Regions from separate parts of the Mus musculus genome. Here region 1 is reported to be linked to region 2. The links are microRNA targets in miRTarBase. Many come from high-throughput screens and were not tested one by one. Region 2 holds a microRNA gene; the other region holds the end of a gene's coding sequence.

What was found. The annotated mature microRNA mmu-miR-544-3p reads AUUCUGCAUUUUUAGCAAGCUC and lies in region 2 at 2,325-2,346, opposite strand. An mRNA with a match to its seed (bases 2 to 7 or 8) in the 3' UTR can be bound and repressed. Matches are read on the target gene's strand: a 7mer-m8 pairs with bases 2 to 8, a 7mer-A1 pairs with bases 2 to 7 and ends in A, and an 8mer does both.
Region 1: miRTarBase lists Prkce as a target of mmu-miR-544-3p. Seed matches in the 3' UTR shown: 7mer-A1 at 2,675-2,681.

Annotation. Positions count from the first base shown.
Region 1 is chr17:86,653,709-86,658,044 of GRCm38, reverse strand. It overlaps Prkce (protein kinase C, epsilon), which reads right to left. Exons shown (of 15, transcript NM_011104.3): 15 at 126-3,504. The coding sequence ends at 3,358. Among named protein-coding and RNA genes, the nearest start is that of Gm52297, 14 kb to the left of the region's middle.
Region 2 is chr12:109,727,545-109,731,716 of GRCm38, reverse strand. It overlaps Mir544 (microRNA 544), which reads right to left and starts at 2,392; the gene lies at 2,315-2,392. Mir539 (microRNA 539) reads right to left here and starts at 3,588; the gene lies at 3,515-3,588.

The sequences.
Region 1 (4,336 bases), not on the chromosome of region 2:
ATGATGGACAAGCACTCTTGACAACAGACCGTAATAACGCCATCCTGGAAGTTTTGAATTTATAGTGCACAAAAAGCAGAAGGAGAGAGAGAGGGGGGGGAGGCATCCTTGTTGGGACAGAGAAGTAAGATTTAACATCATCATATTTATTACGTTCTGGAACAATACACATTCACATCCTTTTGAGTACAGTACATTTGGCACAATAATGTTTACAATGAAATCACACTGATAGATGGCAAGGGATTAAAATCACATCCGGAAAGGAAAAGAAAGCTTCACAATACAAAATAAAACCCCTAAAATTGAATACATTTCTATTAACCAGAATTACTTTGCACATAATTTAAAAAGAGGTAATTTTTTTAAGCCTTCTTTTATTTTTAAAGCAAGAATGAATGGTGTTTTCACCTTTGGAGGAAAAAAAATGTTTCTACTTCAAGAAGTCCATAATGAGAGGCAGGGAGGAATTACTATCCTTCATGTAGTATTTTTTGGCTTTTTCCCCCCCACTTTTTTCCTTTAAGATAAAGAAAGTGAGAGTTGGAAAAATATAGACCTGGCAGATCCCCTGGTGCCAGTGTGGCCATTCCCCAGATACCCTGGTGCCAGCTTGGCCATCCCCACCACTGCTGTTTTTGTGATGCTGGGACCCATGTACAAGGCTTCACACCAGCCAGGCAAGAGTTCTGCCACCAAGCCACATTCCCTGTGGCTAAGTTCTTGCTGACAGGACTCAGTATACATCCAAAGAACACACTCGTGTGTAGGTCTCCACTAGATTCAAAGCGTTGGCTGGAAGCCTCCTAGCCAGCAGGGCTATGGGCACCAAAAGGGTATCAGGGGCCTGACTTCTTAGAGTTGCTGGTGGAATGTGTTGTTTGACTTCCCAGCAACAGTGCCAACTGGCCATGAGGAAGGGTGTAGCCTTCACTGTAACATTAACACTACCAAACCCTGGGGGAAAAACACTTGATATTGGCCTTGGCTGTCCAATGTTCACAATGGTAAAGAAAGCAGAAGGAAGGGAGGGAGGGAGGGAGGAAGAGGGAGAGGGAGAGGGAAAGAGAAAGAGAGAGAGAGAGAAAGAGAGATTATATCTGAGTATAATGGGATTATTATGTTTTTTCTAAACATTGAGATGATACCACCATGAAGATGTTTCTGTGCTTGTTTTCCACTCCAAAAGATAGTCTTCCCCCAGTATGTCAAGTTACTGAAGATAAATTAAATTAATCTAATGTTCTTCATCACTTCCCTGGTATGCCAAACATACAGATTGATACAGCATAGCATTTAATATTTGCAATCATCATAAGAACAGATCACAGTTACACCTGAGTTTTTCTTAAAAAAAAAAAGCAAAACAAAGAGGAAAACTGAAGGTCGTCATTAGAGACAAAGGCTGTGACCAGCCAGATGCAAATAGGGACACATTTAGTATGGGCTCAAAATAGTCACTGTCCAAGCTTGGAAACCACTATCGAGAACATTCTTTCCCGTCTGCCATCTCTCTCAGGGCATGACACTACACAGGAGAACCGAGCGTGACTTTAACAGAGTTCACTATGTGCTTACACTTTTAACCCAAAAGGAAATAAACAATATGAAGGACCCCAGCCCTCCCTGGAAAGAAACATACCTCTCTCTCAGCAACTTGAACCAATAGGTGATAAGGAGATTGCACCTGGACATTATTATAGTTATTCTTTCATAGACTAAAGTTCTATAATATGCCTGAACATGCAGCAGTTGATACCTCTATAGTCAATGATTTAACTCCACAGGCCTTGCAGCGAACACTATATACAAAAAAAATCTCAAATGTACAAAAGGCAAAAAGCTTCGTTAGTGTCAGTTTGCCACTCACAGGTATATCTACTTAGGGGTGGTTGGGAAATCCACGTGCAATGGTTGGAATGGATTCCACTCCCTGCTAAGTCAGTTCAATAAAATAGGTAATCAAATGACCTTCAGGGAACATATACACAAAGCCACAGGGAACCCTTAGGAATCAAAACTGTAACACTGTCAGCATAGCTACAGGAGGTAATATCAGTCCACGTGAGTTACCATCGCATGTCACCAAAACTCTGGCTACATCCCAGCACCTCGACGGCCCTCAGATCAGTTGCTCCTTAGTCTCCTGAGACCTTCTGCCTGACCCCGGCTGTGTTTCGTTCCCTGCATTCCCAAAACAGATACTTCAGAGTTTATCCTACATAGCGAACGTTTCAAACCACAACAGAGTGGTACGGCCATCTTGTAGAAGCACAGAGAAAATAAGGGTTTATGCTGGGAACATGGGACCAAGACTGGAGAGAGAATTTGGGAATTAAGTTTTTCTGGAACCCTGGGATCTTGGCTGTTGCTCTGGTGGTCTTTGTGCTCAGGGAAAATTCTCATGATGAGAAGCCAGAGTTTTCTTTGCTCTCTTTGCATAGACCTCATGTGTCACTAAAGCATCAATAACAAACGTCGGATGACTGGATTCTCACCGTGTATTAGCCCTTTAATATCTACCCGTGTTCACGTTGGGATGTCTATCTTTTGGCCAATTAGAAAGTGAACGTAGTAATAGTTTTCTTTCTTTCTTTCTTTCTTTCTTTCTTTCTTTCTTTCTTTCTTTCTTTCTTTCTTTCTTTCTTTCTTCCTTCCTTTCTCTCTTCCTTTCTTTCTGCTTTTTTTTTTTGTAATGTTTAGAGTTCAAAATCAAAATGATTTCTTCCATGAGATACAAACGCATACAACTTTGGCATGCTCAAAAAAAGCTAAAACCAAAGCAAGCAGGAATGTGCGATTCCAGAGCACACGGCCACAGCTGGACCACCTGAGCAACTCAGGCTCCTTCCATCAAGGGCAAGCCTTGGGGCACCCGCCCTCCCGTGGAAGAAACTCTGCTCTCTTCTCTTAGGTAGCTGGGCAGGGATGGCAGGCTGGAGACGAGGAGGAATGGGAGGAGGGAGAAATCAGGAGTCCACGTCCAGTGGCAGAGCCAGAGTCTTCGAGTTGTTTTTTTTTTTTTTTCTTTGTAGTAAAAGAACTGAAGCTGCTTCTGGCTTGCGGTTGGATGGATACATCAAACCCAACACTGCGCACAGCTACCCACAGGTAGCTGATGCAATTCAAATCTGTGATCTTGGTGAGTCTAGACCAAGAGTGCCTTCTGATCACTGGGAGGGTGGGGAGGGACGTGGCCTGGGGTGGGGGAATGCAATAAATAAGAGAGTGGACATGGGACTGGGGCTCTGGGGAGGGGGAGGAGGAGGAGGAGTTGAGACCTTCGGAGCCTCTGCAGCTTGGGAGTATCTCAACACCGTCCTTGCAGCATGAGCTCCCTCCATCCGAAGCAGCCTCTCAGGGCATCAGGTCTTCACCAAAGTAGGAGAAGCCTTTGAATTCTTCCTGGTTGATCTGCTTAATGATTGCTTCATCCACAAGTGTAAGTATTGGCTCTTCCCGCGTAAAGTCTTGGTCAAAGTTATTGACATCTCTTTTGGTTTTCTGTGGAGAGAAAAGAGATGGCACTGAGTTGAGGCCTGACTTCCCTCTTGAGCCCCGCCCCCTCCCACTCAGAGACTGGGTGTCGAGGTGACCAGACTCTCAAGCCTCTAACTACTGGGAACAGATACGGGCTGTTCCAATGGGGTAACAATGGATGGCCCCGGGACCCAGATGTGAAAAGGAGGAGAGCAAGATGAGAGTCAATGTGAGAAGGAAGAGGGTGCGTGAGTATGATGGAAAAGCAGGGAAGTGGGGTTCCCACAGGCTGAGTGTGCGCACATGTGCACGTGTGTGCAAGTGTGTGCATGTATGTGTATGTGTGTGTGTGAATTTGTGTGTGTGTTTGTGTGTGAACCTGTGTGTGCATGAGCCTGTGTGTGTGATATGCATATGCGTATGTGCATGCACATGTGTATGTGTGTGCGTGAGCATGTGTGCATGTATGAGTGTTAATTGTGTGAGTCTGTGTGTATATGAGCCTTTGTGTGCACGTATGTGTATATGCATTCACATGTGTGTGTGTGTGTGTGTGTGTGAATGCATGTGTGCGTGTGTGTGTATGTGTGTGTGTGCGTGTGTGTGTGTAATGGGATGCATAGCTTCCATCTCATATCCCCTTGGTAGCATCTGCCATAGCTATCAGTCTTCATGAAGACAGTCCTTGTTGTGCCCAGGAGTCAAACTTAAACCCATCTGCTCCAAGTCCCCAGTGCTTTTGTTTCCCATAGGAAACAGACGTGATAGTCCTGCCACATCTGCTTCACACGGCCTCTCTCTGTGTAAAGATGGGCTATGGACAGGACCCAGTGATGCCTTCTCCCATCCGCCCTCA
Region 2 (4,172 bases):
CTAAGAATGGATTGAGGAGCAAATGTTAGGAGAATTGGCTACACACCTTGTTTTTCCCTCTAGCCAAGTGAACAACTGTCCCTGAATTGGCTGAGGTCAATAGCCCTTCCTCAATAAGATCAATATTCCCTTATAGGACTCAGCATCAAGAAAGCTAACCATAGATTTGGGCAGGGGTTGGGTGGGTGGGGGAGGGGTGCTGAATAGATACTTCAGGAGAAAATTGTTCTTTTGGAAGAACTCTAAGCTCAGAATAGCCTATTCCCAAAGTCTGAGGCAGGGGGATTAACGTGCATTCAATTCTGGGGACCTCACTAGGGTAGCCTGGGTGCTGAGAGTCTGGAACAAAGAAGCCTGTGACCTTACGAGCATGTCCTGTTGTTTCTGGTCCATCATTTCTTCCTGGGCTTTGGGCTTCCCTCTGACATAGATAGGCCATTTAGTATTCACTTTTAGTAGCTGATAGCACTTCTCTCTGGCAAAGAGAGGAAGCAGGGGTGAGAGCTGAAGCATCCTGACCTCAGAAATGCCCTAAAGATGGCGTGCATGTGCTATAGGGTATCAGATATCCCTAGCACCTGGATTTACCTGGGCCAAATATACTCTTACAGACCTCAGGCCAATCCTGATAGGGCTCTTGTATGAAGCTGGCATCCATCTTGAACTGATTCCATCCAGGATTGGTCCCCACCAAGGGAAGAGTCATCCAGGCGGCAGGAGCTGGGCTTCCTGTCCGCCACCGGCATCATCCCTGAAAGGGAGACGCCCAAGAACAGCATCTTCCCTTACAGCAGGGATACAGGCCAACCTCCTTCTTCCAGAATCCCAAACAGCTGGGTTCATCTTACCTTTTGTGTGTGATCTCCACCAGCACAAAAAGAAAAGGAATCAAGTCTCTTCCAGAGCCGAACAGCAGGACGGGAAGCCCCATCGGGGTAGTGTCTGCACCTCAGTGGTGTCCACAGGAGGAAGGGGATGCCAGGGACAGGACCTCAGTGAGAACAAAGGAACAGGGTCAAGTTAGCTTGTCTTTCACAAGCCTGAATTCCGGGGGGTGTTTTTGAATGGATGTAACCCTGAAAACCAGTCTGTCCCCAGGGGAGTTGTGACTACTTCTCAACCATCTCATGGCTTCTCCCCACTGCCTAGCCATCCAGAAAGGGTTTGGCCCACATGCTCTGGCTGGGGAAGGCTATAGCCCTGGCATCAGCTCTCCTTTCAAGCGCACCCTGGCACTGAAAACTGGTAGAAGAAACGAAGGGTGTCCGTGAAAGCACAGCAAGCTCATCGCAAGCAGGACCAAGCTTCCTCGGGGTTGGTCTTCTCCATCAGGAATATCCAAGGAGCATCTCGAAGGAGCTGCAGGGCTCATCCAAGGCTCACACAAGGCAGGCAGTCTCATATCGCTTGTGCAGGGGGCCCTTCAAAAAAGCAGAGTTTGATAGTCAAAAGGAAGCTAACTGTGTCTCGTTCACAATAAGCAAACAGAACATGAATGACCTCAAATATTCTCAGAGATCTCTGACAGGAAAACCGGGGCCTCTTGTCTACTGTCCTCTCTCCTTCCAGAAGATTCTTCCAATGACAAATTGAATTCCTAGACTCTGAGAGGTGAATTCCCATAGTCTGTAAGAAAGCACATGAGCTGACAGCAACCACTCACTGCTACACATTGGTCCTAGGGCTAAAATCTGGTCTGACGGAAAAACTCATTCCCACAAGAGCTTCCTAAGGCAGGTCAATTTAGAAACAAAATGGAAGTCTATCTGGTCCTCCCTGAGAGGTAAGCTGGATGGCAAGAAGCCAGCAGCTGGCCGAATATCATGGAAGGGCAATGGCACCATGGGCATTACCTCTCTCGATAACGTCGAGGGTTGCTGGTAGATACGACAGATAGGACTCCTCCTTCCCCAGAAGCTGTGGTTCCAGAACTGTGCTCCTTACAATTGACTGGAAATGGAGAGTTACAGAGTCAGATGGTCTCAGTCACCAATAACCTGGTGCTGACAAGTCCTGCTGTTGGCTGACATAGGCAGCCCCTCCTTGAAGTAGCTCTTATATCTGGGAAGCCCATAGAGGCATGCTTTGATTTGAAAGAATAATCAATAATCAATAATGGTGTTTGTACAGCAGGTGGCCTTTCACAACTGACCACAGTTTGATCATCAAAAGGTAGCATATTGGCTCAATGCTCACTCATGATGGATAATGCGGGGTGGATGGAGGAGATGGAGCACACACACTACAAGGAACATGCAACATCACCTCCAGCCCCCAGTGGCTACATGTGTTGTCCACGGACCGGCAGCATTAGCATCACTTGAGAGCTTGCTAAAAATGCAGAATCTTGGCCCCTCAATCAGACTCTGCTTTTTAACAAGATCCCTAGGTGACGAATATCTTAGCAGCGTTGAGCAGTTTGAGAGGCCCTACACTAACCAACAATTTGTACAAGCATGCATGCAGGCACACACACACACACACACACACACACACACACACACACACACACACCAGATTATGGAATGAGCTGAAATGGTATGCTATTGACCAGGTATGTCTAAGAAAAAGTCAGCCCAAAGGAAGCCATAGGAACAGATAGAGAGTGACTTAAGGCAGCGGCGGCGGCAGGAAGTATCCTTATTAACACCTGTATTAACCACAGGAAGTCTATGCTCAGAATGGATGCTGAGGAGAGTGGGTGCTGGACCTAGAAGACCCTGGCCAAGTTCTGTCTACCTAAAGAGATGCTTGACCCAGTACCTTCTCAAGGAGTTCCTCTGAACTAAGACTTAACAGCAACAACAGACAGGTGAGTTATTCTCAGTGTTCTCCAGACCAAGCACAAAGAAGCAAGCCACCAAAGCTGTTGCCACCTCAAAGCTGTCACTGTGAGAGTACATGGGGGGGGGGGTGCCTTCTGAGGTTACTCTGCCTCAATAAATTCTCCCTCTCCTGCAGCAGGTACCAATGTCCATTAGCTGAAGTCACCACTGTGCTCTAGGACCTTCGGAAGCAAATCCAGATATGGGGCAAACAATGGTCGTCCCAATTAATCTCCATAAATATGGCGAGCACACTATTGATAGCCACCCTGCAAATGTCAGAGAACCACCGCACCGAGAAAAACCGCAGGACCTCCTCTCACGATCCAGACCAGACAGCTCGCCGGCCTCTGTCATTCAAGCACATGCTTGTGGAACCAGTCACACTCTTGAGCAAGGGGCCGGGGCCTGACCCCAGTGACTATCTGTGAGATTGGCTGCCCATCCAAAAAAAAAAAGAACGATTTGCCAAGTCATGAAAACTGTGCTATCTCACCATGACCAAGCCACGTAGGAACCCCTGGACTCTTCAAGCAAGATCCTGACTTGGGATCAGAGTGTAGCTCTTACACATCAGTTCTGTGCTCTCTTGCCTTGTGCCCAGGTAAGGCTAACCCATGCATCATGCACCAGGCACCTCTTTAAACAACCGTCTCGTCATCCCGGAAGTCCACCAGGGCAGTATTTGATACTCAAAAAGAAATTATCCTTGTATGATTCATCCAAAAGAGCCAACACACCAAGGATAATTTCTCCTCAAGTATGAAACAGTAGCACAGCAGGAATACCAGCATCCATAGGCCTCTTGGGAGTGATCACCACTCCTCACACGTGGCTGCACCCAATACATACATGCACCATGCATGCAGTACTACTGATGGCCATTCTAAGCACCAGGGAGGTGAGAGGCTATAGAAATGACTCCCCAGGACTCAGCATGACAACCTCACGTTAGCCTCTTCTAAGGGTAATGGTGGCTGGGGTCAAGAAGCCAGGCAGTGTCCATCTTAAGTGGAGCAAGCATTGTGGGTGGCCCTGCTGACCCCCGGCATGGGGTCTTCTGTTCTAGAAGCTGCTACAGAAATGATGTCACTGCCGAGTCACAAGCACCACCTTGTAAGTCCAGCACAAACTCTAAGCTCCAACACCCACTCACATGACTGACAGAGAATGTCTGTCTCAACATGGGCTCCCAAATCCAAGGAGAGGTTTGTATATCACCATCATAGCTGCCAGCAGTCAGCTCCCAGCAGACAAAAGTTTGGGCTGGCACATGGTCAATAATGAGCCTAGTCCCTACAAGAGCCTGATCTCTCCCAGCCCCCGAGAGCCATATGCATTGGACCC